Linked DNA regions of Arabidopsis thaliana. The protein of the gene in region 1 purifies or fractionates together with the protein of each later gene. This does not show direct contact. Each region holds a gene or a part of one and is shown in the gene's direction. Other genes may lie near its edges. The genes, in order: LHCB4.1, AT5G19760 and PGR5-LIKE A.

Region 1 (11,093 bases):
TTTTTTTTGTTCTTATAGTTTTTCCAAACCATGTGTTGTCTCTTCAGATGGGTGTCCAAGGATGGAATTGGAGCTCTTGGCCGTCTTCTTATTGGTAGGGAAACCATCGGAACGTTAATAAATGTTCATGGAGTTATCTAATATCCTCTACAATAAGAAGGGTATGTTTTCCAGGTGGACGTTTTGGTAGTCTTTTTGATGATGATCCTAAGCAATGGCGCATGTATGCAGATTTTATTGGCAGTGCTGGAAGGTTTGTAGTACAGGATTTAAATTCTTGGTGAGCCATATTTGGTTAAAACTGTGTATAAGCATCACAGTTTTTTTTTTTTTTTTTTTTTCTCTTTTTTTCGTAGCTTCTTTGATTTGGCAACCCAGCTATATCCATCCCAGTTCCTACTGTTGGCATCCACGGGAAATCTTGCCAAGGTATTCCTCATTTCAGTTTTATTATTTTCCTGCCAGCTGAAATCTTTATCCAGAATTCGCTTCCGCTAAGCTTTAAATGACAGAGTGAGATACTTAGATTTCAATTTGAAATAGGCTGTGGCTAGAGGATTGAGAGACCCTTCATTCAGGGTGATTCAGAATCATTTCGCTATCTCAGGAAATCTTGGAGAGGTAGCAGCCAAGGTATGCTAGTCATGTATGTGGAATCAAAACCCAAATACGAGCATGTAGTAGCTTGTTTACTCTATTAGTGGAGTCTTTAATTTATGTTCAACGTTTCAGGAAGAAGTGTGGGAAGTTGCTGCGCAGCTAATTGGTCTTGGTTTCGGCATTCTGATCATTGTATTTTACTTGTTTGTTGAATCATTTTATCATATCTTTTCATTAGAAGTCCCCATTGGATTTCATCTAAATCATTTTTTTTGTTTCATGTTAAGCGTTTGTATGCTCTAAATTTTGATGCAGGACACGCCGGGCCTTGTAAAGTCATTTCCGTTTGTGTTACTTACATGGACGAGCATTAGACTTGTTCACCTCTGGCTACGCTACCAGTCGCTTGCAGTCCTACAATTTAACACGGTATGAGTTTTGAAATGGATATTCTTACAATCCCAACTTGAGAAAACTCAGATAAGTGATAACTTTGATTTGAAATATTGACAGGTAAATCTCAAGCGTGCTCGTATCATAGTAGAATCTCATGTTGTGCACTCAGTTGTACCAGGTAAGCATATTTCTTCCCTTTATCCAGCTTATTATTCAACGTTCAAGTAAGACTCATAATACTATACAGGATATGTTGACTGCAACAAGCGAGAAAACATTTTGCTGTGGCAGAGGTTCATGAAACCTCGAATCATCTTTGGTGTATCCCTTGAAGAGTTGTCTGGTCTGGAGAAATCTGTTTCTAAGGTAATCTTCTCCTTTCATCTTAACTGCATCCATATGTACTCTTGAGAGAATCTTCTGTTTGTAAGTCCAAGTTCTTGAAACTTTGATTTTTTCAGGTCAAGGCACTCCTTAAGATGTACACAAAGGAGAAATATATTCTTACGTTGAATAAGTTGAACAAGGATACTGAGTTTTCTGTGTCCTTTAAGGTAAAACCTATATTACACGACTTATCTGCTTCTCATTCTCCTCCAAAAGGGCTAAATTTAAAACCGAGCACCATACTGCATTTACTGACTCCGTCATGATTTTCCTTGTTCTTGCACTGTGAAGAAAGAACCTAGAATACGTTACTCGTTTATTTGTCTTTCAAGTAACCTGATAGAGAGTTGGGTATGCTTTGGTTAGTGATTAGTTGAGAGTCTTGAAACCCATTCATGGGTAATTAATTAGAGCATGTCAAGTTAGGACTGTGAGAGATCATAGGGATGACATACTGTTTGCTTCTTCTTAGTTGAATAAGCTTCTTGAGAAGCATATGAGGTAGGCAGTCATTTTTCAGAAATATCGGCTTAACCTACGGGACAAAGTTTATTCACCTTGCTGGAGAGTACTCTCAGTTACCGTGGCTAGAGTCGACCTTTTGTTGTTTTATCAGTAAAGTGTTGCATGATCTTAATATTTCTTTGCTTTTATCATTCTCGTTTGAAACTACGTTACTTTACATACTTTCTGGCTTTTTTTCTACTCCTTCTCCATCAAGTATATCGTGAATGTGAGGCCTAATCCATTTTGTTTTGCCTTGCCTTTAATTCATGAATGTAAAACAAATAATGCAGGTGAATGCCACAAGCAGAGACGTGTTGAGATGCCTTTGGCAAGCATATTGGTTAGAGGAGAACATGGAAGAAAGCTTTAAAGACAAGGATAGTGTGTTCCACTGGCTGAAGCAAAGCTTGTCGGAGATGGACAACAAGTTTGATGATTTCTTGTTCAAATTGGATACTGCTGGATGGAATCTACGTGAATCTAACTTGAAGGTTCCCAACCAAGTTCTCATAGACCAGGAATCTATCCCTTTCTAACACTCGATTGATTGATTCTTCAGACTCATCACGCAATCTCTTGAACAGAAGAAAATAACACTGAGGTAAATAATACCAAACCCTGTCAATTTGAGAATATGGAGTAGTCTATAGGTGATTTGTAGAAATATCATGTTCGGTACAGCTAATATAGTTAGGATATATCAGGCTTTGTATGGCAACTTGTTTAAATTTGTATTGTGTGACCTGATCCATATAAAATTAAGAAGAAAAAGTAAAATATCTAATAATAAGTTAGTGTGGATGATGAGACAAATGGTAAGGTTTTAGGCCAATGATAGTGATTATACCTCTTTTGTTTGTACTTGATTCGTCACCATTATTCTGCTTGCGTTTATTTTAGAATTTAGAGGTGGCTTTCGGAATTAAAAACAACAAGACAACAACATTTTATAATTTTGATTTGTATACTAATAATAGAACCAAACTCTGCTTCTCTCAGCTATTATTATCTAAGTACTGATATATTTCAAATTGTAGCATAAGTTCTGTATATGTATTAGATAGAGTTATCTTTTGATTTATTATCATATACGGATTAAATTTGCAGTTTAGAGCAATGTATTTGCAATTTTGTGAAAAGTGAATTTGCTTTATTTTTGTCTTCATTACTAAAGTTGAATTAGCGGTTTGATGAGTCATTATCGCTATTAATTTGTTTCCGTAATAATAATGATAAGCAATCATGTCACGAACATATTACTAATATTGTGGTGATTCTTTTGCCCTCCTCATCCATATTCATTGATTGTAAAAGCACACGTAGGTCACATACGTATCATCCTAAACCCCAAATTAAAAAAAAAAACTAAGCAATTTTTATACATGGCCTTTGGCGATCCAAGCATGCAAAAATATTCCATAAATGGTTAACACAAAATCATCGATTCTGAGGGGTTAACTAGGGTCCACTTTATTACCGTATGGAAATAGAGACACGTCAAAGCTAGTATTTGGACCTACGTACGCTCATGTATTCCGCCACGTGTCGTGGTTTCACTGACATAAAACACATGTCGGTCAGATAATTCTAGCTCTCACGACGATGAAGCAATGTAGGCTCACTTCCACTCACCGCCGCCTATAGCAGTGACACACGTCCTGTCACCGGCGTGTCACTCAATAATTATCAGATTTTCATTTTAATTAAATAATGTTATCCTATATTTGTTAGGTGGATCCCAACGGGAGGGCTTTATGGTAATTACCATTTACTCCTGAGAAGCTTTTATTTTTGTGTGTGGAGTAGTAGGAGAAGTGTTGCCGTTCCTTGTCGAACAAAAAAGAGCTTTAGACAGACGCTCCTCCCCTTTTGTAATATTTTTGATATTACGTGTGCTCTACGCGAATCTATCAATATCTAAATCCTCTCTTTCTCTCTCTCTCTCCTCCTTCTTCTTCTTCTTCCTGTCGCTGCCTTGTGGTTGAGTGAGCAAAAAAACTCAAAACCCTCCATGGAAATGGGAGAGAGAATCAATTCGAGTTGTTGTTAGGGGGTTTGCGATATTTTAGGCTTCTGTCGGTGATCTCGACCAAAAAAAATAAACAAAGGAGCTAGTAGGGTTCTGTTTTCTCTATCACTCGGAAGGAAGCTGGTTTATGTCAAAACTTTGTTCTTCGGAAAATGCGAAAATCGTTCAAGGATTCACTCAAGGCTCTTGAAGCTGATATCCAGTTCGCCAACACTCTGTAAATCTCTCTCTCTCTCTATTTCTTCTCTCTGTTTTTCTCTGTTTTGATGTTTCGATGTGTTGGTAGAATCTGATCGTGTTCTTAGTCGAGAGTGGTTGATTTGCCTCATAAATTTGTTTGATGCTGTGGTTAAATCCATATTTAGTTGGTACTTCGGTTTTCCCTTTGCTTGAGTTGCTGATTTTTGTCTCTTCCGATTCGATAGGTCAGATTGTTTTTTTACTTCTACTGAAGTTTCCAGAGGATAATCAGTTTTTGATACTTGTGAATCTGTATCTCTGTTGTCTGCTGGGTCTTATGTGTGCTGATGTCATATTGAATTTAAGACTTTGCGTTTACGCGAGCTCATAAATTCCAATTTATTCCTTAGCAAGTCTCAGACGCCACCACCACCTTTTGGTCAGATCACACAAAATCTATCTATAGTGGTCAATTCTTTTTCCTTTCGTCGTATATAGTCTCTGATGCTATCCTAAGTTGACTTGGTATACTTGGATTAAGCTGTGAAGCAACATGTTCATGTTGCGTACTAATCTCACCAATCATTGAATCAAAATGATTAAAAAAAAATGAACTATGTGTGTGTAGGGCGTCAGAGTACCCAGAGGAGTATGATGGTGGCTACGTTCAGATGAGATTATCTTACAGCCCGGCGGCTCATCTCTTTCTCTTCCTTCTTCAGTGGACTGATTGTCATTTCGCTGGCGCTTTGGGCTTGCTTAGGATCCTTATTTATAAGGTCTCTTATTAATTTTCCTGCTGTTTTATTGCTACTGGATCTTCAAGATCACAATGTTCTTGTCTGCCTGATATGTGATTCTCTGTTTTTTATTTATAGGCATATGTTGATGGGAAGACCACAATGTCGCTACATGAACGCAAAACTAGTATCAGAGAATTCTATGGTAATCTGTTAATCACTTATTCTCTCTTAATCTAAAGGTATAAGATTAGACCAGACGATATGTTTTTTTCTGACTAGCAATGGATGTTGTTGGGCAGATGTGTTGTTTCCTTCGCTATTGCAACTTCATGGAGGGATCACCGATGTAGAAGAAAGGAAACAGAAGGAGATATGCGACAAAAGATACCGTAAAAAGGACAGAACAGATAAAGGAAAGATGTCGGAGATCGATTTGGAGAGGGAAGAAGAGTGTGGAATCTGCTTGGAGATTCGAAACAAAGTTGTTCTTCCTACGTGCAATCACTCCATGTGTATAAACTGCTACAGAAACTGGTATATAAAGCTTTTCCTTCTTTTCACTCACTCTCACCATTCATCAGCCTTTTTCTTACAAGTTATAGAATCTCTTGTTTGGAATAGGCGTGCACGGTCACAGTCGTGCCCGTTCTGTCGAGGCAGCTTGAAAAGAGTGAATTCTGGTGATCTATGGATATACACTTGTAGCGCCGAGATTGCAGATTTACCAGCGATTTACAAGGAGAATCTGAAGAGGTTGTTGATATACATTGACAAGTTGCCTCTCGTTACTTCTGATCCAAATCTTGTCCCTTATGCTCCTCTTCCTCGGTGAACATTACATTCTCTCTGTTTCTTGTTATGCACATAGCAATTTCTTTCAAACAAATTTCATCTATTTATGTCCACTTTGTATATAATATTTATGTGTTTTTAGTTGGTTTTTCATCTTTCTATAGTCTCAGATTTGGGTTTGTATATAACAACCATTGGTTATTGACATTTAGATCAAAAATTCGATATCATATTTGCTGATTAAGGGTACTTAATCACATTTTGGTTCGTTTAAATTAGTATCTGTCTATCTGACTATGAATTACAGTAACCGATTGGTGTTTCAGTCAAACCGACTTGTTTTGATCGTTTTGGGGAGTAATTTGGTTTCGGTATGGATCGAATTGGCTGAACCGGAAACCAGCAATTTGAGTGAAGCACAAGACCGCAGTACACGTGGCTTCTTCTAACTGGGGTAAGAAATTATTTGACCCAATCAGATTGTACCTCATCTAGATTTTATTGCCAATGGACTTGAAACATCACCAGATAACGCAGAGTTTAATAGATAAGATTAGTAATCCTACTCACCGTCAGATGGATTTGTGAATCGATCCAACGGTCATAATCGTCTTTCCAAGATAGGCCAGCTCCGAAACTCACCTCCACGCATCTATAATCGTGTATCAAGAAACGGATCTTTCTTCTCTATCTTCTGAATATCACAAAACCCAATTAGCCGGAGATGGCCGCAACATCCGCCGCTGCTGCAGCTGCTTCTTCCATCATGGGTACTCGGGTGGCTCCCGGTATCCATCCCGGTTCAGGTCGGTTCACAGCCGTGTTCGGTTTCGGAAAGAAGAAGGCAGCTCCCAAAAAGAGTGCCAAAAAGACGGTGACTACGGACCGGCCTCTTTGGTACCCAGGCGCCATTTCTCCTGACTGGCTTGATGGTTCCTTGGTTGGAGATTACGGTTTTGATCCCTTCGGTTTAGGCAAACCGGCCGAGTATCTTCAATTCGATATCGATTCACTAGACCAGAATCTGGCTAAGAACTTGGCCGGAGACGTGATCGGAACCCGTACGGAAGCTGCCGACGCCAAATCGACGCCGTTTCAGCCGTACAGTGAGGTGTTCGGAATCCAGAGATTCAGGGAATGCGAACTCATCCACGGACGGTGGGCGATGCTCGCTACTCTCGGCGCTCTCTCCGTCGAATGGCTTACCGGCGTTACATGGCAAGACGCTGGCAAGGTAACGCCACTCCCTTCTCCACTTGGATAATCGGTTATAAGTTAGTTATTTCGAAGATGCTAATAAATTAGTATTCAAATAGTTGCGTTTGCGTTTGTTTGCGACTCAGATAGAAATGTATGTACAATTTAGTTGATTTAGCGTTTGCTTTGGCGTCTGTCTCTCTCTCTTTCTTACAGTTTGCGTTAGCATTGGACTGTTTGAGTTTCTGTTCAGTCAAGAATATTCAAGTCTAGTGTTCAATGAGTGATATTTAAATATTAGTTGAAATGTTGTTATTCAATCAGGTGGAGCTTGTAGATGGATCGTCCTACTTGGGGCAGCCATTACCTTTCTCGATCTCGACATTGATATGGATCGAGGTGTTAGTGATCGGCTACATCGAGTTCCAGCGCAACGCCGAGCTTGATTCGGAGAAGCGTTTATACCCCGGAGGCAAGTTCTTTGACCCGCTAGGTTTAGCGGCTGACCCGGAGAAGACTGCTCAACTTCAGTTAGCTGAGATCAAGCATGCACGTCTTGCGATGGTCGCCTTCTTGGGATTCGCGGTTCAAGCGGCTGCAACAGGTAAAGGTCCACTCAACAATTGGGCTACTCACCTCAGTGATCCACTCCACACCACCATCATCGATACCTTCTCCTCATCTTAAAATCATTATCATGTGAGATTCTATTTGTAACTTATGTAAAAACAGAGCTATGATGATACTGAATCGACTTTGGGCTTTTGCTTGTTTGGTTTATTTACATGTTTGGCCCATGACATTAAATTGGGCTTCTCCTTATTTACTATACCTACTCGTCGTACATTTTCAAAATGTATTTTTGTCGCATATACAGATTGGCCCAATAGCAGGAGTACAAGACCGACCCATTAGTTATGTTGTGATTATTTTTTCTTGATTTGGACAATGAAAAAGGAGAACCGTACAGAAAAACAAATAAGTCCACAGACAAAAAAAAAAAAAAAAGGATAGTCACACACCGCGTGGGATTTGGATGAACATGGGAGACTTGTCTTGTGAAGTCTCCTTGAAATTGATTCCGTGTCTCACTGTCACTGTTCCGTAATTTGGGAGGACATTGAATTATTATTTTTGTCGTTGATTATGACACATAACAAGCAGGTTCAATTACTAGTTTAGGAAAAAAAAAAAAGCAGGTTCAATTACTTGCTCGTATGCACTGAAGAAACAACCACAAAAAATGTTTTCAAACTATTGAACGTGGAGATTCGATGAATTGATTGTAATTCTAATATTCTTTTGAAGAAAAATATTCATTGAGGAATGAGGTTCGTCATAATCAATTATGAATATAGAATTGGCTGGTTCAACGATCAAAAATGGATAATCCGGACAATATAACAAAAATGATGACGTTAAGCAAAACATACAGTAATTTTATATAAAAAAATCATAACTGTATGAGTAATCTTTGTGACGTTACAAAATACTAATTTTAATTTTTTTGATAGTATGACTAATCTGTGTGACGTCACGAAAAAATTATATATTAAGGTTTTACCTCCCCGCCACATTCATTTCAGAAACTTTTAGCTATAGACATTCCAACAAATTTATTTTATACTATTGTTCATTAATCATAAGTACTAGTTAAATCATGTTTTGGTCTTTTGAAGCTAAACGATTTGACTAATTCGAAGCAAAAAAGTGAATGTGCTTTATCCACTACTGACTGATACGAGAAGTCGAAGAAACTCTGGTGATTGAGGTCGACGAAACATATCCTACCAACTTGGATCCGAATTCGCTTCTTGAAGACTTTGAATATCCCCACTCATCGTCAATCTCAGGTACATTCTCCTCTCCGTTTAGATACCTAAGCACGATTCTCATCGACGGCCGAGACGCCGGTTTTTGGTGGCAACAGAGCAATCCGACGGCGAGAGCAAGCCTTGCTTCTCCTCCGTCGTAACCAGATCCTAGTCTCGGATCAATCGCACTGAGAATCTCACCGTTCGCGTGAAGCTCCATAACCCAATCGACCAAGAAGAAGGTACCGGAATCCGTTGGTTTTCTCCCGCAAACGATCTCTAACAACAAAACGCCAAACGCGAAAACATCAGACGCAGATGAGGGGTTTCCGTTGCGGGAAAGCTCTGGCGCCATGTACCCGATGGTTCCAACGAGTGCTGTTGTTTCCGATAGCGTTCCGCGTTCGTAAAGCCTCGCGAGTCCAAAATCTCCCAATCTAGGGTTCATCTTTGAATCGATCAAGACATTGCTAGGTTTCACGTCTCTATGAATCACAATCTTCTCCCATTCTTCGTGAAGATACAATAAACCAGACGCGATTCCTTTAGCGATCTGAAAACGAGCGTTCCACGACAAAACGGCGCCGCTTCTTCTCGGTACAGTGTAGAGCAGAGAGTCTAAGCTTCCGTTGGGGATGTAATCGTAAATCAACAAGAGATCGTTTTTGTGTTTGCACCATCCTTGGAGGTTCACCAGATTCTTATGCCTTAGTTTCCCCAAACTCTCGATCTCTGCGACAAATTCTCGAACACCTTGCCTGCTACTTGGAATTATCTTCTTCACTGCGATGGGATCCGAATTCGGCAGTTTTCCTTTGAAAACGGTTCCAAATCCTCCGGTTCCGATGATTCCAGTCTTTTTGAATCCATCCGTGGCTACGTAGAGGTCTCTGTATCTCAATCTGCGAGGATGATCGATTTCCCAGTCTTCAAGAGTCTCTTCTTGTCCCAGTCTCTTCTTGTACATGACGAAGAAGAAGAGTAACACAAGCATGACCAGCATTACTGCCGATAACGCCACGATCATAACAATGACTTGAGAATTTAAACCTTCCTTCTTCGCCTTATTCGGCGGCGGCGGAGGAAGCTCCGAGAGGATTAGAACATCCGCAATTGGACGTTCTCCGCCGCTTGAGAAACTCCAACCCATCACGTAATGAGCACTTGACTGACCTTTCCCCGTCGATGCCGTGAATCCGACGTACATTTCTTCTTGCACAATCTCCAACAGTTTTGGAACATGTTGAGAGATCAAAGGCTTTGTGGGTTTAAACCCTAATCTCGCGGGATAAACGGTGACGTTTAGCATTTGTGTTGCTCCATCATACTCCAAAAGGGCTTGAATAGGATTGCCACTCTCAAGCTGGAAATCTTCTTTTTTGTTGTGATCATCATTGTTGTAATACACGACTGGTTCTTGGAGATCCGAAGTACGACTGTTGTAATTCAGACCGATGTCGTTTCCTATTCTGTCGGTGTTGTCGTCTCTTGATCCTTGCACCGTGTCGAATTCCACTGCGAATACGTGGTTCCTAGGATCCCCATTGTTCTCTTTGTTGAAAACTCCCAAGTACTGTGCGGATCCAGCATTGAGACGATAAGGTGTTGGAGATAGTGTGAATGTGAATCCAAAGCCTTTATTGCTTGAGCTTGAAGGGATTATGACAAAGACGAAAGACGTGCTAAAGGAACGAATTGTGACGTTTGTGGAATTTCTATTAAGCAACCTCACCGGTTTGTGGTAGAAAGCTGTACCGGTAACATTCGACTTTCGGTCAGTGAGTCTCAATAGTCCGTCGGGTTTGATCATCGCGGCTCCTTCAATCCGAATCTTCGATTGGTTTCCGTTAAAACCTCGGAAAGCAAAATTTGTTGTTGTTCTCTGAGCTCGAACATGGACGCTCAAAAACAGGAAAAGCTTGAATAAGAATGAGACTATGAACATGGATCTTTGTGTGCCCATGGGTGAGCGAAGTAAAGAAGGAGATAAAGAGATACTTTGAAGAGTTCTTTGTTAGATAATTTCTTTTATGGACATGAGATGAGAGTTTGTTTTTTTTCTTTCAGATTCTAATGAGTCAAAGAAGATGAAAATTATACCAAAACCAAAAAAGAAGAAGGAACATGGTACTTTCCGCTCAATGTTCACATTACCGTACATTGAAAATATATGGCACCCAATGTTTTTGTGAAAATTAATAAATAGAAAAAAAATATTAGCCATTTATTTCAACAAATAATTTCCATTAAGACTTGGACCAACATGTTTTAGTGCTTGAACTCTGTGGTTAAAAAGAGGTCCAAACGCAACCATCAGGCTGACTTTGACAAATTCTACGTTGACTTTAACATCATGTATTTTATATTTTTCCTTAGGAACAAGAAAGAAAAAAAATAGTCATATGGACTTGGACGTTTGTGATTAAACCTTAAAAGATAAAAAGATAA
Region 2 (11,093 bases), 6.5 Mb from region 1:
GATCTTCTTTTTTTGGTTCAACTTCGTTGGCAAATTAGGTTTATATTTTGTGAAGGGAAAATGATTAATTTATTGAATTGGATTTGATAATTTGTTGGGGTCCGCCATTTTGTGACAGCCTGCCTTGGGTCCCACGGCTTCGCTTTTGTTCGAAAATGAGTTCATTTTACAATATTGCCCACACGATCCAGTTCATTCTACAGTTTCTCAATTTTGGCTGGCATAAATATCTTCGGCGGATACATGTTACTTATTGTTATGGACCGGATTGGTTTACGTCAATTTAGGATATAGGATCGAATCGTGGATTGGTTTATCGATCCGGTTCAATGTTTTTTTCATTATTGTTTGTTCAAACAGATTCTACAATTTTTTTTTTTTTGAACACGTTTTAACAGATTCAGTTGTGTTGATCTACATAATGACAAAAGTCACATAAAACTATTGGTCATGATCATACTATAGTTGTTTTTATATCATCAATTTTATTTAGTGATATGCTTTATGAATTAATAATTATGGATGGACATTTAAAACACCAAAAAAAAACATAATGGACAACTCTTTGGTATTTAATGGTTTTTAATCAAAAAATTGATTAGGTGGAAACAAAAAAAAAGTGGGTGCACAAATGAAAATATACAGGGTCATTCGATTATATATACTAGTAAAAATAATATGAACCTCTCAATAATATATGTATAAGATTATGTGAAGTTATTGGGTCGGCAGTCGGCACCTAACGGGAGTGAGATCAAATGGATGTAATCATGTAAACTTATGTGCAGAAAAGAAAATAATGTAAACCTATGAATGAGTAGATTATTAGTATTGTTTAGTGTTTCTTGGAGATGTAAGGGTTCTCACATCCACATTCTACTTCATCTTCCTCAAATCCTCTGCAATTGTTTTGTTCCCTTTCTTAAAACGATTTGGGAATGTTCTTAGGATATTGAATGTAAAGTAAAAAGATTTGTCCCTAGTCTGAAATCTATTCATTTTCATGATATTGTGTGAATGAGAACCACCACAATACATAACTGAAGTTTTAATAAATTACATGCAAAAAATTTAAATAACTATTTATGTAATAGTTATATATCTCTCTATTCATTATTTGTGTTCATAAACAAACCAAGTCATGTGGAAATATGAAATAATTGTCTTGATGACATATTTAATCAAACAATTCCTTAACCCAACCCATTTCCAATCATATCAACTAGCATTTTTGTAAACTCGCAAACTTTGTGACCGTTATGTACTCTCTTCGGATTCACGGTTTCACTCGACCGTTGTCTACTTTACTGTATACTCTCTTTGGGAATTTTTTAGTCTTAAGGTTAACTATCAATTGCTTTAGGATCATGCATTTTTTTGTCTTTTTGTTAGTTTGAATGGATGAAAATTCCCTTAAAACATTATATTTATAGGATTGAATTGCTACTTAAGCTATCTTCCTAACCGCATGCATGAATTCAATGGATTTGATAATCGTTTATCTTGAAATCTTGATCCATTATATCTAAACAATTGCTTAACCCACTTTGACATCTTTAATCTGAAACCGCTTAGGAAAAATATGCTATATAGAATTAATATAGCTGATTGTCTCAATTCATCTAACTTAACTTAGCAATTAGAGAATTAATCTAGCTGACTATCTCAATTCATCCAATACAATCTTAGAATGATCAATTTATATGAGTTTATCTTTCGTATCATTACAATCATTTTGGTTATCAAACCATCATTTTGGTCGTACCTTTATCCACTCATTGAAAAATATAAAAATATTTGGCTCCGATTAGTAATACGCGTAATTGCAAAATGACATTTTTTTAATACGAGTATATAAGAATGTTACCAATTAAGAAAATTAACATAATATTTATTAAAACGCAAAAATACAGAATTTTTGTTTTCTTCATAGAAAATAAAAATAAAAATTCATTATGTAAATACATATTATATGTATATTTAATTTTAGACACATATATTTGTTTGTTTTATTATGCAATTTTTCATTCTACAAATTTATAGTTTTGCAAATTTTTATTCTCCTACTTATGTCATTAAAAGGATTATACGGGGTTATCTCAGAACTTGTGATTTCAAATCTTGAAAACACGTTTTACGTAGTCAATATTTATGTAAGTTAATTAATAAATAAATGCACTAAGAGAATCAAAATCTTATAACAAAGACAACCTTACATGACGTTTCTTTTCTGTTTGGCGCTTACAAAAACATCCTACTATAACCAATAGTTATTTAAACCACTAAACCCTAATTTAACCTATAATATCGATTTAGGTCGGTTAAGCTATTATTTACCTCACTCATACTAACGAAATACCTAAATTCCGGTAAGTTATTTAAACCGGATAAAAATCGACACCTTCCAGATCTAGATCCAGATCGAATCTCACGTATTTTGTCTATGCCCAGTCCCAAAGGCAGGCTGTCACAACTTGGCGGACCCCAACCAATTATCAAATCTCATTCAATAAATAATCAATTTCCCACAAAAATCATGGAAATTAGGAAAAAAAGAAGATCTCGCTCACCGCTCTCATTTCCTCAATTCTCCGTCCGTCGAAGAAGCGAATCGCTCGAAATTAGGGTTTCTACTGAGAGAAGATGCGAGAAATCATAAGCATTCACATCGGACAAGCTGGGATCCAGGTCGGAAATTCGTGTTGGGAGCTTTACTGTCTCGAACATGGAATCCAGCCGGACGGAATGATGCCGAGGTATAAACCCTAATTCACTCTTTGTACTCTGTTTCTGTGGATCGGAAGATTTTTGAGATACGAGTCTTTTGCGTTGTTGCAGTGATACTACAGTTGGTGTTGCACACGATGCGTTCAATACTTTCTTTAGCGAGACTGGTGCTGGGAAGCATGTCCCTAGGGCTGTCTTCGTTGATCTCGAGCCTACCGTTATCGACGAAGTTCGTACTGGTACTTACCGTCAACTTTTCCATCCAGAGCAGCTCATTTCTGGGAAAGAAGATGCTGCTAACAACTTCGCTAGAGGACATTACACTGGTGAGAATCCACTTTCTGCTTGTTCTAACTTGTTAGGGTTTTTGAAATGGTCCTTAGAATGCTTCTTGTAATTGCAGTTGGGAAGGAAATTGTGGATCTATGTCTTGACCGTGTGAGGAAACTTGCCGACAACTGTACTGGCTTACAAGGGTTTTTGGTGTTCAATGCTGTTGGTGGTGGAACTGGTTCTGGATTGGGTTCTCTGTTGCTAGAGCGTTTGTCTGTAGATTATGGAAAGAAGTCTAAGCTTGGTTTTACCATATACCCTTCTCCTCAGGTACTCTTTCTTTTGCTAGACACTGAAGTAGAAACTCTTACATGACATGTTTCTATAGTGGTCTAATTTGGATGAAACTTGGTTTTAATGCATATTCCTCTGTGATGTCAGGTTTCTACTGCTGTTGTAGAACCTTACAACAGTGTTCTCTCAACGCATTCCCTTCTTGAACATACGGATGTAGCTGTCCTCTTGGATAACGAAGCCATCTATGACATTTGCCGCAGATCCCTAGATATCGAGAGGCCAACCTACACAAACTTGAACAGGTTGATATCACAGATCATTTCATCCTTGACAACATCTTTGAGGTTTGATGGTGCCATCAACGTGGATATCACTGAGTTCCAGACCAATCTTGTCCCATATCCCCGTATCCATTTCATGCTGTCATCTTATGCACCAGTCATCTCAGCCGCCAAGGCTTACCACGAGCAGCTATCAGTCCCTGAGATCACCAATGCCGTTTTTGAGCCAGCTAGCATGATGGCAAAGTGTGACCCGAGACACGGAAAGTACATGGCCTGTTGTTTGATGTACCGAGGAGATGTTGTTCCCAAAGATGTTAATGCTGCTGTTGGCACCATCAAGACAAAGAGGACTGTTCAGTTTGTTGACTGGTATGATCTAGAAATGGATAAAGCTGCTACTGTTTCTACCTTCATGTTGTTATTATATAATAACTCCTTTGGCATGGGTTTTGTTTTGCAGGTGCCCAACTGGGTTCAAATGTGGAATCAACTACCAACCTCCAACAGTTGTTCCAGGTGGTGACCTCGCTAAGGTTCAGAGAGCTGTATGTATGATCAGTAACAACACAGCAGTTGCAGAGGTGTTCTCACGGATCGACCACAAGTTTGATCTCATGTATGCGAAGAGGGCATTTGTCCACTGGTACGTTGGTGAAGGAATGGAGGAAGGTGAATTCTCTGAGGCACGTGAAGACTTGGCCGCACTGGAGAAAGATTACGAAGAAGTTGGTGCTGAAGGTGGAGACGATGAAGAAGATGAAGGTGAAGACTATTGACACCTTTTCTCAAAAAAACTGCAACCAAAAAAAGTTTTTTCGTTTATCTGTTTTCACTTTTGATTCTGTTGATTGTTTAAATCCTGTAAAATATTCGTTCGGTCTTCGTGTTTTATCTCGGTTGGATACATTTTCATTGGTAGAGCGACCATTGCGAGTTCCCGAGTTCATTATCAAGCTTTTGTTGTACCAAACTTTGATAATCTTCTTACAACTGTCCATTTTTCCTTGAAGTATAATCTCGTCTATCGGTGCGCTAACGTTTATCAACGTTCTGTATATGCTTTGTTGTCGTATCAGCTAATAATACATTTATGAGATTCAACTAATGTTAACAAACCACGTTGATCTTCACAAAAGGGCATCAGAATTATCAAATTGCATCAGAAATACTGCTCCACTGGTCCACTATCTAAAATACGGCGTGAAAAATGCCAAAAATTATTGAACAAATACAAAATACAAATACAGAAGATCAATTTTTTTAAAAAATTAGAATTTATTGGACCCAAAAAATTCAGAATACTAACGATTTTCAACTTCATACTAGAAAATTAGAAATGGACGAATGTCAAATCTAAAATTCATATGAATGCGTAATAAATAACTCTAAATATTTGGATTGCGTAAAATCCGAATGGTGAAAAGTAAAGTCCAAATTAATAAATTTAGAAAATATGTCTGGCTTAGATCAGATCTCATATGCAAATGGAAAAAAATAAAAATTAAAAAGGCAAGGGTTTGGTGCAATTTAGTTTCAGTTGGGTGGTGTTAATATAAAAGGCCCATAAGCTTCACACTTCATCGTCTCCTCTCCACCAAGTGAATCTCTTTCTCTCTCTCTTTTTCTCCGCGGAAGGAATCTCTTCTTCTGGTTGCGTTTGAGTCCGTACGAAAACAAAAGAAAAGAGAGAGATGGCGGAAGAGAAGAAAGCTCCAATCAGTGTCTGGACTACCGTGAAGCCCTTCGTCAATGGCGGTGCCTCTGGTATGCTCGCTACTTGCGTTATCCAGCCGATCGACATGATTAAGGTCTGTCAAATGTTTACGGATACACGTTTCTGTATCACCCATCTCTATGTCTAAGCTCGTTAGTATTAACAATTCTTGCTTGATTTGCTGGTATTGATACCTACGAAATCCGTAAATGTTGTTCATCAGATCCGAGTCTGTAGATTTTATCTCTCAGATCTGAGTTTTTGTTTTGGCTTATTATAATCAAATTTCATTGCTCGGAACATAGTCAGACTCGTTTGAGTGTGAATTGTTGCTATTGATACATGTTTAGATGAAATGTTCTAGTTCAGATCTGGATTTTGATTAGAATAACGTTCTTAGGTTCATCACAATGTGTGATTCTTCGCCTGTGTTCATAGGATTTTTAAATGATGTGAATGTAATTAACTAATACTTTGTTTTGTTTCTGGTTGGTGAAGGTGAGGATTCAACTTGGTCAGGGATCTGCAGCCAGTATAACCACCAACATGCTTAAGAATGAGGGCGTTGGTGCCTTCTACAAGGTATAAATTGCATTTCTGGATGCATTACTTATCTTGAAGATGTACGTTTTGTGTAGTATGTTTTCTATTGATATGTTCATGACTTTTGTTGATTTGTAATGTATATGATTTCTGCATTTCCGGATCTGAGTCTCAGCTATTCAAAGAATTAATTTCCTTATCTAACAGTCTTTCCAACAACAACATTAGTTATACCCCATTGAAGATGTCTCCTGAGCTTATTTGATGTTAATTTTTTTTAATAGGGATTATCTGCTGGGTTGCTGAGGCAAGCAACTTACACGACAGCCCGTCTTGGATCATTCAAGTAAGTTAGTCATTCGTCTTTCGTCTTGAGCCCATCCAGATGAATAGATTTTTATTGCCTTATGGTTATGGATAAATCATCCTCTCTTCTGTCAATCTTATTAGGTTGCTGACTGCAAAGGCAATTGAGTCTAATGATGGAAAGCCTCTACCGCTGTATCAGAAGGCACTATGTGGTCTGACAGCTGGTGCTATTGGTGCTTGCGTCGGTAGTCCAGCCGATCTAGCACTTATCAGAATGCAGGCCGATAATACTTTGCCGCTAGCTCAGCGCAGGAATTATACCAATGCTTTCCATGCGCTTACCCGTATTAGCGCTGATGAGGGAGTTTTAGCACTTTGGAAAGGGTGTGGGCCCACTGTGGTCAGAGCTATGGCTTTGAACATGGGAATGCTTGCATCTTATGATCAAAGTGCTGAATACATGAGAGATAATCTTGGTTTCGGGGAGATGTCTACGGTCGTAGGTAAGCTGCTCTTCCAAGTTTCTCATACAGTAAGAATATATTTTTTCTGTGAGCAGGTAGATAGCAGTTAGAGTCAAGGATCCTAAGAATCAATCGTCTTGGAAATTTACATTTGTAGCATATAATCTCCTGATTACACGAGTGTTAGATTGTCATAAATTAAATGTGTATTTCACTTAATACAATCTATCCAAGAACTACACCAAGGAAAATACTTTATTAATGAGAGGACTCTCTAAACTCTCAACCGTTGCCCAAACCCAGATCTAAGACCAATCCAGAATGGATCCCATTGCGTTGTCCTTACTCCCTTTTAAGAGCTACTAATTGTAAGGTCGCTCAGTTGGCAAAACTACACTTTTCTCAACTTCCTAGGCTTGTTACACTAGTTCTGCACTAGACTTAACAAGAAACCTTTATCAGTATTTTCATATGGTCATGTAATCTCTGTATGATAAATTGTAGTTAAAATAGATCTCTGAGTTTGGTTTTTGTTTACTTTAACAGGAGCAAGTGCTGTTTCTGGGTTCTGCGCTGCGGCTTGCAGTCTGCCATTTGACTTTGTCAAAACTCAGATTCAGAAAATGCAACCGGATGCTCAAGGAAAGTATCCATACACAGGTTCGCTCGATTGTGCGATGAAAACCTTAAAAGAAGGAGGACCTCTGAAATTTTACTCGGGTTTCCCAGTTTACTGTGTCAGGATTGCCCCTCACGTCATGGTATAATAGCTCTTATCTCCCTTTTTTGTTTATGTTATTGTAATTACCACTTCGTGATTGCCTCTAAGATAGTTGTTGATCGGGTTTTCTTTTGGCAGATGACATGGATCTTCCTAAACCAGATTACGAAATTTCAAAAGAAGATTGGTATGTGAGGAACAAATACAGCAGCAAAAAAATAAGATGAGAAGAACGAAAACACAATTGGAATTGTGTTCATTTGCTTTTTAATCATATACATAACCTGCCTTAAAAGCATATTATTGTAGCTGTTTGAACTTTAATTTTTTGTTTCGGTCGGTGATTGGTCCGGTGAATTTTAAATTTTCTTCTTTGGTGGAAGTTTAAGACACATAGCCAGAGATTTCAAAATTTTCATACGAACTAAAAAAATTCTCTGAATGAGGAAACAATAAATATATGAAACATTGATGATGGGGAAATATTTGAAGTGCTTGAAGAAAAGCTTGTTTCAACTCTAAGAAAATGTCAAGTGCAGGGTTCCCAAATAATTGTTTCGAAACACCAAACATTTGCATCAGCAGACAAGACCGTTTCCCCAAAACTCTGCCGATAACAATCCAGCAACCACCTCTAGGCTCCAGGTAAGAAACATGTCTACTTTGCAACAACTTCTTTGTGAGCTTTGAATGATAAAATCACATTCCAAGCCAAAGCCACTACGTTTGAAGCAAGTACCTGCAATAATTCATATATAAGACATCGATTCATCCTCAAAGCCAAAGAAAATCTTGCTAAGCATACTAGCTAGAAGCTAATGTCATTCAAGCGTAATTCATCTCAAGCTCATCATGTCAAAGATGTTTTTAACAAGGGCTCAAAAACATGAAAATGCGTAATAAATTCTCAAAGATTATACTAAGCAGAGGATTAACAGCGTGTGGGTCGTTATTCGTTATGTATGAAGCATATCTATCTTAACCCAATTGTATTTTTTTTCAGACTCCCGTTTCATGTAGTCACAGAGTTTAGTATCAAACCTGGTAGTTCTGTGGAACAAATCTGAAGTTAAGAAACTGAAATGGTATCCATAGCTGCCAATTTGCTATCATTGCACCAGTCCACTCCTATACAACCAGCAATTCATGGATTCAATTAGAACACCGCAAAAGATACAAAGTATCAAATTTAGATTCCTGCACCGGAAATATTAAGTTTAGTTAGGTTTTAATCCAACCTGTTGTAGCTTCGGTATGACATTTGATGGTTTTCCTTCAAGTGTCACAACTGCTGATAAGAAAACTCCAACAAAAATAGGAGCAAAAACAAACTGCAAATACAAATTTTGGTGTTAAGTGCTAACACAGAGGAAGCAAGATGGGAACATAATTGTTAGACTGGGAACAGGAAACTTTGCTACCTGATCCAGTAGAAGTCGTATAACTGCGCCTGATAATCCAGAAGCTGTCACCACTTTGCTCAAATACAAATACCTAATGGATGGAGTTGAGAGATTTCAGAGAACAGAGAATAAGCATAAGTAATATACCAATGGATGCATAAGTCTCTTCAACTGAAGAACCACTAGCAGAGACGTAATATAGTTAGCTTTTGCGGTGTCATACGAGTGAAAGGTCCACGGAAATACCAGAAATGCAATGTTGGACCGACTAGCCCTAAGCCCAAGAAGGTAAAGGTGAGTGTCCTCTTCTTGTCCAGCGATGAGGTCTTGTTGATAGTAAGCTGCAACCAAAAGTGATACGAATAAGCAATGTCGCTCACATATCTAGCAGAATACGATCAAGCATTATAAAGAAAATGGGGCTTTACTACATTATCCTGTATTTTGGGTCTATTAGCTTCCATTCTAACTTTAAAAAAGAGATAGCACAATTCAAGTTAAAGTCTGTCTGTTCAGAAATACATAATGCAGCAGCTCATGAATACTGTTTTATCTCGATATATCCTGAATAGTGAAGAATCCAAACTTCAAAGATAGCACAAAAATGAGAGAGTTACCTGACAGATCAAATCTCCAACGAGGTTCAAAAGTGCTGCGGTCACAGCTTTGGTCAAAACAGGAGAGTTTGAGAGAAGAGCCTGGTACCTGAAGCACCATAGAAAAAGGCACACAAAGTGTGTTTATGCTCAAGTCAAAAGCAAAGAATCATACTAGAAAAAAAGTGTTCCGTGAGTAAATTATTAACACATCCAAGAAAAATTTCCAACATCTGCTTCAATGAATTGCTTTTCAAAGAAACATCTTTACACAAGAACAGGAGTAGTGACAGGAGCAAGTAAGAAAAATTACCATGAGAGAAGTGACCACTTCTTTCCTTTTCCGTCGCTTCCATCACCACCACCGCCGCCGGAACCACCACCACCACCGCCTGAACCACCTAACCCGCCAGAGCCACCTGAATTCCCACCTGGGACCGCAGAGACCCGGACTAGATGCCCAAACGCAGTCCCAGAACGCCCCGGCCAATTGCTCCGACCACACTTCAGTGAACCAACATTTTTGTACCCAAACGAAAGAGCCTTGCTCGAACTACCTTCCGTTATAGTTCTTCGACCAAAAGACGAAGAGTGATTACCTGAAAACCCAACAGAGTTGAACGGGAGTGGTGGTTTCCGGGTTAAAGTGATAGAGTTAAGCATCGTTGTTTCGTCTGGTCTGAGACTGAACGGCGTTGACTCTAGCTTTTACAAGTATAGAACTCCTGAATCTAGCTTCCGGTTGTATTTTGGGCTTTTATATGGGCTTTAGTAATGGGGTTTTATATGGGTCTTCATATGCTGATATGCATCGAAGCGACGCCGGAGTGTATTGATCTCACCGGAGGTTTTCAAAGCGTTTCAGGGTTTAACTTTAATCAAAAGAAACAAATTTTAAGCAAAAGAAATAGAGGAACTACAAAATGTAAACACCAAAACTGAATAAACTTGTGACAGAATCTTATCTGCCTTCATTATGTTCACATCATTGTGCTGAAGCAACAAGAGCATTCTTGATCTCATATCAGTTCACCTTTTAAAACAAGTGAAGCATGTCTAATAGCTCTAGAGACTCTCCAAATCTGGTGTTGAACATTTTCCCAAGATGCTTTTGTGTTTAGCTTCTTTGCATTGTCAATTGCATCATCAACTCCAGGGAATGATTTCGATCCGTAGTCATCGTACTTCGATGGTCCGTATATCAAATGCTTGTACCATGGTCTTTCAGAGAGTCCATCTCGGTCTGTTAAAGCTCGTTCTGCCATCATTAATCTGTCATTAAGCTCTCTCACTTTAAGAGCTCCTTTAATTGCCTGCACAGTACATTCAAGACTACTTTCAATATAGTCACTATACTTGTCACTTTGTCAAATGTAAACTAGTGTCATTACCTCTTTCTCTAGGGATATATGTTTTGCAGCCGTAGATAGATCTTCTATCGACTTGATCAACGTAGAAACATCTATGTTATGTCCTAACTTCTCATTCTCCAAATCTTCCGCGCTTTTCTGTTTTATGCAGGTTGACAAATACCATTACAGCAACCTCTTAGCTCATTAATTGCTTTGGCCATATGTTTTATAGGATATCAATTAGTTACCTTGAGTTCTAATGCATAGGAAGTATAGTTGAATGGTATAATTTCCTCATCTGCTAACCGAAGAGCGACCAAACCAAGAACACTAGCCATTGCGACATGTCGCTGAAACATCGGATCACCAAACTTTTCCATCCAAGTGAAGTCATCATACATAGAGTGATA
Region 3 (6,754 bases), on another chromosome or scaffold:
CCAAAGTATCCCCAATGTGCATCACAATCGAATCAGGAACACATTTTGCAGTGACCCATTTGCCCTCGTAGAAAAGCTGCAAACCCGGAACCATGTTGTGTAGAATGAAAGTTAAAGCGCTTACATCGGTGTGAGCTTCCACACCGAGTGCTAGCTCAGGCTGAGGACATTTTGGATAGTAATTTATCTTCATTTGTAGAAGAAGCTCTTCTAAACCACCAACTTCTTTCTCTAGACGGTCAGGCTCTAAACCTAGACCGACAGAGAGAGCCTTGAAGACTTTAGTCGCTAGCAAACGAAGACACTTCGCGTACTCACTCGTTGCTTCTCTACAATCATCGAAAAACGTTAATAAAAGATTCTAAAACCAAAACAAGATTTTGTTTTCTTTAGTAAAACAATTCAAAGCTTACATGTAATCACTTGGTGTCTTAGGCCAAATTGATAGATCTCTCTTCTCTTCAGGATACGCAAGATGAAAGAAGTAATCTTCCCATTCCAATTGTCCACTCGCGTTGTTAGCCAATTTACTTCCATAGCCTTGAATCTTTCCAGTGGCTTGATCGTTTGCATACTTCTCCTTCTCTTCCACAGACAAACTGAAAAACTCTTCTCCGGCTTTCTTGACACGCTCCATTAGATCAGCTGGTATTCCATGGTTGATCAAATGCATCACTCCCCAATCCAAAGATGCCTTTTTCAGCTCCTCAATACAATTCTCACGGATCTTTTCATCGTCTGACTCGATGTTCTTTAGATCGATTGTGGGAACTTGAGGACCGTCTTCTTTCTTCTCTTCTAGGAAAACATCGTTGATGCTCTCGAGCTCTTCTTTTGGACGAATATATTCTTTTGGAATCGATATGATTCCGCTTTTTGCTAGACTCTCAACTCTTTCAACCGCAACCATCTTCTTTAGTCTTCTGTTTAAAGCTAAAACAGAGCAGAAAACAGAGTAAGAAGTAAATAAACTTAAAAACAGGGGAAAAAACAGAGTAATAAAAAAAATGGATTTGTTTTGTTTTTCTTCTTACACTCTTTTTTGTAATTGGTTGCAAGTAAATGAAATGTGCAAAGACTCTTTCTTATATAGCAAAGTTTTTACTATACTTTTAGTTAGAAGAGTTTGTTACCGAACTAAGAGACATTGTAGAGCTACCGGTGGTTAGTGCTATTGTTGTGAGGTAAGTGCGTGACTCACTTCACGGTCAACGGGAGAGGATGGTTGGGTTGACTGATTGGTCAAAAAGATTACTACTATATGGGCTTGGGTCTAGACTCCCAGAAAAGGCCCAATAGAATTAAACCCATAATCGCTATCAACGTGTTCTTCGTCGCGTGCTTTAAGCGTGTCTCCACGTGTTCACCTCTACTAGTTCTTCTACTAACCACATTTTCTTTTTGTAGTTTGGAAATCAATTACTAAAAAAACAATTTGACTGGTTTTCAATTTCAAATAGACAATTGTATGTGGATCAATAATTCTTTTGGAAAACTAAATTATTTATCTTGTTTGTTTTTTAAAATTTGGAACTCATTTTTATTTTAATGGTTTGTACTAAAGTATATTATCAGCTGAATTCAACTACACATACTACATGTCAAATTTTTTTAAAAAATCACCATGTTTCGAAAAAAAAATCTTCTTACTCATCTCACAGTATTTTTTTTATTGTATAATCAAAGCCTAAAATTATGTCTTTTCTCTATTTTAAGTTTTTGTTTTGTTTAAGAAAACCGGATATTTAATGCTGACGTGGATATTCTGATTATGAGGATGAGAGGAAGGAAAAAATAAGAGAAATCTGCCTAGGAATTTATCTCCACACTTCTCTTATCTCCTAATTTCTTCCCTCCAAATTTATAATAAAACCAAAAAAAAAAAAAAAAAAAAAAATCAGAAGAAACCTGAGAAGCTCACAGTAAACACATCTTCAACCACAGGTTCATACTTACTGAAAAAAACAGAGGAAAAAAAGGAGCTCCCTTTTCTATCTCTAAGGGAAAATGGGTAGCAAGATGTTGTTTAGTTTGACAAGTCCTCGACTTTTCTCCGCCGTTTCTCGCAAACCTTCCTCTTCTTTCTCTCCTTCTCCTCCGTCGCCGTCTTCGAGGACTCAATGGACTCAGCTCAGCCCTGGAAAATCGATTTCTTTGAGAAGAAGAGTCTTCTTGTTGCCTGCTAAAGCCACAACAGAGCAATCAGGTCTTGATTTGGCCACTTTAGTCTCGATTTCGAACACTCCGCCTTAGTTTTCTGTTTACAAAGCCATTTGGATTCGAATTTGTTCACAATTGGGTTTCCAAAGTTTGAGCCTTTTGAAATTTAGGATATATTATTTTAATTCAACGTCTCTAGCTCTGAAAATTTATGTTTTTAAGTCACTAACTTGTAGTATCCAGACTCGAATCCTGTTAAAGTTCAATTCTTTGAAGGGTTTGATTGATTCAATGGCTATAACTTTGGTATAGTATATTTGTTTGTATTGGACTTTGTTGACTATTTAGTGGTTAACTCTGTACTAAAGTTTTGCAATGTCAGAAGTTGTGTAACTATTAGGTTGCATAAGTAAGGTATCAACTTTAGATTTGCTATGAAGTTCTCAATTACAGTCTTTTTGTCTTCCTTAAGGTCCAGTAGGAGGAGACAACGTCGATAGCAATGTTTTGCCCTATTGTAGCATCAACAAGGCTGAGAAGAAAACAATTGGTGAAATGGAACAAGAGTTTCTCCAAGCGTTGCAAGTAAACGCTACAATAAACCATTTTTTTTATAGTTGCCAAAACATGATATATATCTAATCTTCAAGAGCCTGAGAATTGCTTTTGTCTTTTGATTACAGTCTTTCTATTATGATGGCAAAGCGATCATGTCTAATGAAGAGTTTGATAACCTTAAAGAAGAGTTAATGTGGGAAGGAAGCAGTGTTGTGATGCTAAGTAATCATCAACTATGGGACTAAATTTCATTTCTTTGTTTTGGTTTCTTTGGTGCAAAGTCCTAAATCTTTTATTGGTAATATGAAACACAGGTTCCGATGAACAAAGATTCTTGGAAGCTTCCATGGCTTATGTTTCTGGAAATCCAATCTTGAATGATGAAGAATATGATAAGCTCAAACTCAAACTAAAGGTTTCCATTCACTTTTTATGCTTCAGTGAAAATAGACATACCCTTATAAGATTGGTTTAAGCTTCAAGTTTATGATTCTTTCTGTATCCATGTAGATTGATGGTAGCGACATTGTGAGCGAGGGTCCAAGATGCAGTCTCCGTAGTAAAAAGGTAAATAGAACATAAGATTCATTGTTAATATTAGATTATAGATAGATACTAATTTTCAGTCTTTATGAACTTCCTCAAATGTAGGTGTATAGTGATCTCGCTGTAGATTATTTCAAAATGTTATTGTTGAATGTTCCAGCAACCGTTGTTGCTCTCGGACTGTGAGTCTCTATACCGAGTTTTCTATTCAAACATCCAAATCATATGAAACCCATATTTCGTCTTTGTTTATTCATTCAATTCTGTACTTGCAGCTTTTTCTTCCTGGACGACATTACAGGTTTTGAGATCACATACATCATGGAGCTTCCAGAACCATACAGTTTCATATTCACTTGGTTCGCTGCTGTGCCTGTGATTGTATATCTGGCTTTATCAATCACCAAATTGATCATCAAGGACTTCTTGATCTTGAAGGTAAGAACCATTACCATTACTCAAGATTGCAAAAGAAAAACATCAAAGAGCCTTTTTATGAATGTTTCTTGTTTCACAGGGTCCTTGTCCGAATTGTGGAACGGAAAACACCTCCTTCTTTGGAACAATTCTGTCAATCTCCAGCGGCGGCAAAACCAACACTGTCAAATGCACCAAGTAAGATTTTACCTTCGAATATGGTTTCAAAAGTGTAACATATTACTATCTGATTCTTTGATTATCTCTGTTTTTAGCTGCGGAACCGCGATGGTGTATGACTCGGGTTCTAGGTTGATCACATTGCCAGAAGGAAGCCAAGCTTAAACCCTGTGAGGTACACATCTCATTTATAGTAAATTCTTTAGATCACATGGAAGTCAGAGATAGTAAAATTTGCTTTTTCCAGCTAGATGAAGATGGGAAAAGAAGAATGGGTTTTGTCAGAAGCAAAATAGATTCGAAGTTAAATGTATATGTAAGATCTTCCATGTTAGCTCTCTCTCCTTCACATGTTTTCTGATTTGTAAGTATTGTGTGTAAGCAATAAGAGATATATAATATGAGCACTTCTTCATCTACCTTTGTAGATAAAAATATAATCATTACTATAGTTAAATCAAATTGTATACATGAAAGACCAAATTCGAATTTAAAATGTTTATTTCGATAACTTTACAATTTCAAATTAACTTTGGTACATTTCTAATACTATTATGATTTGTATCTAAAACGACCTTAAAAAATGATTTTAAGTCAAGAAAACGAAAAGCATACACGATTATATACATTTGCTTACCGAGGCAAGAAACTATGAGAAATGCATGGTGTTAATTTGGATGTAAATTTTATGAAATGGTGTGGAACATAAAGAGATTGATTGAGAAGAGAACTAAAGTCAAGAACATATATAATGAAAGGACAGACAAAGGTAACAACATTGCACAAAAGAGGATAAAGTCACACAAACATTAGCACGCCAATGTCTCTCTCTTTTTTAGTCTAAAAATTGATTACAATTTTTTTTTATGAATTTTAATTAACACAGAAAGTGTAATCATGATCATCATCTTCCCATGCCTCTATCATCATTGATCCAATTTTCTCCTCCACTACTGAACCTATTAATTGCTTTTACGTTGATTTAAAAATTTTAAAACCTCTACGTTAGAACGGTCATATGCTTATTTAACAATTAGATCATGTCTTCTATAAAGGTAAAAGAGAAATCTGACAAATGAAGTGTAAGTGTTTATAATGTTTGTGTCCCAAAACACACATCCCCCACAAAAGTAAAAACACCATCAAAACTTTCTTTCTTTCCTCTTATCTTCACTTCCTCTTGTAAACCCTAGATTCTCTTGTTCCTCTTATGGATTCATTCTCTTTTTGTATCATCATCATGATACTTCTCTTATCATTCCACCAATCTAAGTCTCAATTGATTCAATCTACACATCTTCTTGATCTCATGATCAGAGATTACACCATTAGAAACTTTAAGCTCAATTTCAACACAGGCGTCACTCAGAAAATCTATCTCCCTTCTAATTTCTCTGGTATCGATATTGACACGGTCAAGTTAAGGTGTGGGAGTTTGAGAAGATATGGCGCAAAAATTGGAGAGTTTCACATCGGTTCAGGCCTTACGGTGGAGCCATGTCCGGAGAGAGTCATGCTAATTAGACAAAACTTTGGTTCGAATTGGTCTTCAATCTACTCTACTGGTTATAACTTATCCGGTTACAATTACAAGCTCGTGTCACCGGTTCTTGGTTTGTTGGCTTATAATGCTAACCCTGACGGTGTGGCCAGGAACCCTTACGAGGTTAATGTTGTAGGTACCGATCAAAACCCAATCTTAATCGATTTCTTGATCAACAAGGCAACTAATAACACTAGCCCTAACCCTACGAAGAAGAACTCGTCAGTCTTGTGTGCGTGTTTTACAAGCAACAGTAACACAACGTTTAGCGAGCAAGTCTCGCCGTATGTGTGTAAAGGTACAAGACAAGGGCATTACGCTCTCGTGATGAAGACAGAAGCTCAAAAAGATGATCATGAAGGTGGTGGTAGTAGTGGTGGAGTGGTGGCATCATCGACGGAGGTGAATGGTGGCAACGGAGGAGGAAAGTTGAGCCGTTGGAAAGTGGCGGTGGGGAGTGTGATAGGGTCAGGGATTGGAGCAATTCTGCTGGGAATGTTAGTGGTGGCGATGTTGGTGAAGGGGAAGAAGAAAGCAATGAGAGAAGAAATGGAGAGAAGAGCTTATGAAGAAGAAGCTCTTCAGGTGTCAATGGTGGGTCATGTTAGAGCTCCTACTGCTCCTGGAACTAGAACTCTTCCTAGAATTTCCGATGATAGGTATAATAAAAACACTCATTTGAATAGTAATTATCCATAATTATCATTTGTTTTCTGATTTTTCTTCTTTTTGTGTTAATTGAGTATCTTAAGATAAATAGTTTTGTAGAAATAGTTTCAATGGCTTCAAAATGAAATTTCATCCATTTTTTTTTAGTTTTTGGTTAAACGGCTATAATCGTTAGTTTTCTTTTTACTAAAAGTAAAGACTTTTACAGAATGGAGAATTTTCTCTTTTTTATTTTCTATAAAATGGTCAGTGAAATTATGCAAAAAAATTTAAAAAAATCAGAGAGTCCCCCCAACTTTCATACTGTAAGCTTTATTTTTTTCTTTTCATTTTGATTTATTAATCTCTTTTTCCAACTTTTTAATTAAATGTATATTTCTGATTTAGTGAAGAAAATATACTTTTATCAGTATTGTGACTAGTTAACAGAATTTTCCACCTACACATCAACAAGCATCTTCTCCAGTAAGCTATTGTTAATGCGAAGTACGGAAATATAAACAAATCACCACCTTCATTGCAACTTGCAATCAATTTTTACTCATTTTAGTAAGGTTTTGTTTTTCTTTTTCTTTCAGTTTTTTGTGATTTAGTTTAAGAAAAAATAAAATAAAATATAGATATAATTTGATCAATTTCTTATAGTTGACAGAAAAAAAATCTTATAACTATTGTCTTTTG

What was found.
Region 2: the proteins of LHCB4.1 (region 1) and AT5G19760 fractionate together in Arabidopsis thaliana (co-fractionation; one large-scale study listed by BioGRID). This does not show direct contact.
Region 3: the proteins of LHCB4.1 (region 1) and PGR5-LIKE A fractionate together in Arabidopsis thaliana (co-fractionation; one large-scale study listed by BioGRID). This does not show direct contact.

What each region holds. Positions count from the first base shown.
Region 1 is NC_003076.8:202,726-213,818, forward strand, and holds LHCB4.1 (light harvesting complex photosystem II), read left to right. Parts: upstream 1-6,140; 5' UTR 6,141-6,358; coding exon 6,359-6,868; intron 6,869-7,155; coding exon 7,156-7,518; 3' UTR 7,519-7,823; downstream 7,824-11,093. Other genes in the region: RUS5 (root UVB sensitive protein (Protein of unknown function, DUF647)), read left to right, coding at 48-94, 175-253, 357-429, 544-633, 733-792, 916-1,029, 1,114-1,174, 1,244-1,362 and 2 more; AIRP2 (RING/U-box superfamily protein), read left to right, coding at 4,072-4,136, 4,728-4,878, 4,978-5,044, 5,142-5,376, 5,464-5,674; LECRKA4.1 (lectin receptor kinase a4.1), read right to left, coding at 8,560-10,608.
Region 2 is NC_003076.8:6,676,025-6,687,117, reverse strand, and holds AT5G19760 (Mitochondrial substrate carrier family protein), read left to right. Parts: upstream 1-5,063; 5' UTR 5,064-5,272; coding exon 5,273-5,389; intron 5,390-5,793; coding exon 5,794-5,877; intron 5,878-6,122; coding exon 6,123-6,184; intron 6,185-6,288; coding exon 6,289-6,650; intron 6,651-7,157; coding exon 7,158-7,372; intron 7,373-7,470; coding exon 7,471-7,527; 3' UTR 7,528-7,812; downstream 7,813-11,093. Other genes in the region: TUA3 (tubulin alpha-3), read left to right, coding at 2,644-2,756, 2,839-3,053, 3,131-3,330, 3,442-3,950, 4,042-4,357; AT5G19750 (Peroxisomal membrane 22 kDa (Mpv17/PMP22) family protein), read right to left, coding at 7,991-8,071, 8,374-8,460, 8,571-8,663, 8,754-8,826, 8,982-9,076, 9,353-9,440, 9,645-9,994; AT5G19740 (Peptidase M28 family protein), read right to left, coding at 10,351-10,644, 10,723-10,839, 10,932-11,093. UniProt on the Arabidopsis thaliana protein: Catalyzes the transport of dicarboxylates, such as oxoglutarate, oxaloacetate, malate, and succinate, and of tricarboxylates, such as citrate, isocitrate, cis-aconitate, and trans-aconitate by a counter-exchange mechanism across the inner mitochondrial membrane.
Region 3 is NC_003075.7:12,005,150-12,011,903, forward strand, and holds PGR5-LIKE A (PGR5-LIKE A), read left to right. Parts: upstream 1-1,836; 5' UTR 1,837-2,007; coding exon 2,008-2,206; intron 2,207-2,632; coding exon 2,633-2,745; intron 2,746-2,843; coding exon 2,844-2,940; intron 2,941-3,032; coding exon 3,033-3,133; intron 3,134-3,228; coding exon 3,229-3,285; intron 3,286-3,369; coding exon 3,370-3,446; intron 3,447-3,539; coding exon 3,540-3,702; intron 3,703-3,781; coding exon 3,782-3,879; coding exon of another isoform or gene 3,880-3,883; exon of another isoform or gene 3,884-3,956; coding exon 3,957-4,026; 3' UTR 4,027-4,036; intron 4,037-4,108; 3' UTR 4,109-4,387; downstream 4,388-6,754. Other genes in the region: LDOX (leucoanthocyanidin dioxygenase), read right to left, coding at 1-329, 414-910; AT4G22900 (transmembrane protein, putative (DUF1191)), read left to right, coding at 5,072-6,103. UniProt on the Arabidopsis thaliana protein: Ferredoxin-plastoquinone reductase involved in cyclic electron flow (CEF) around photosystem I. The homodimer is probably not involved in CEF.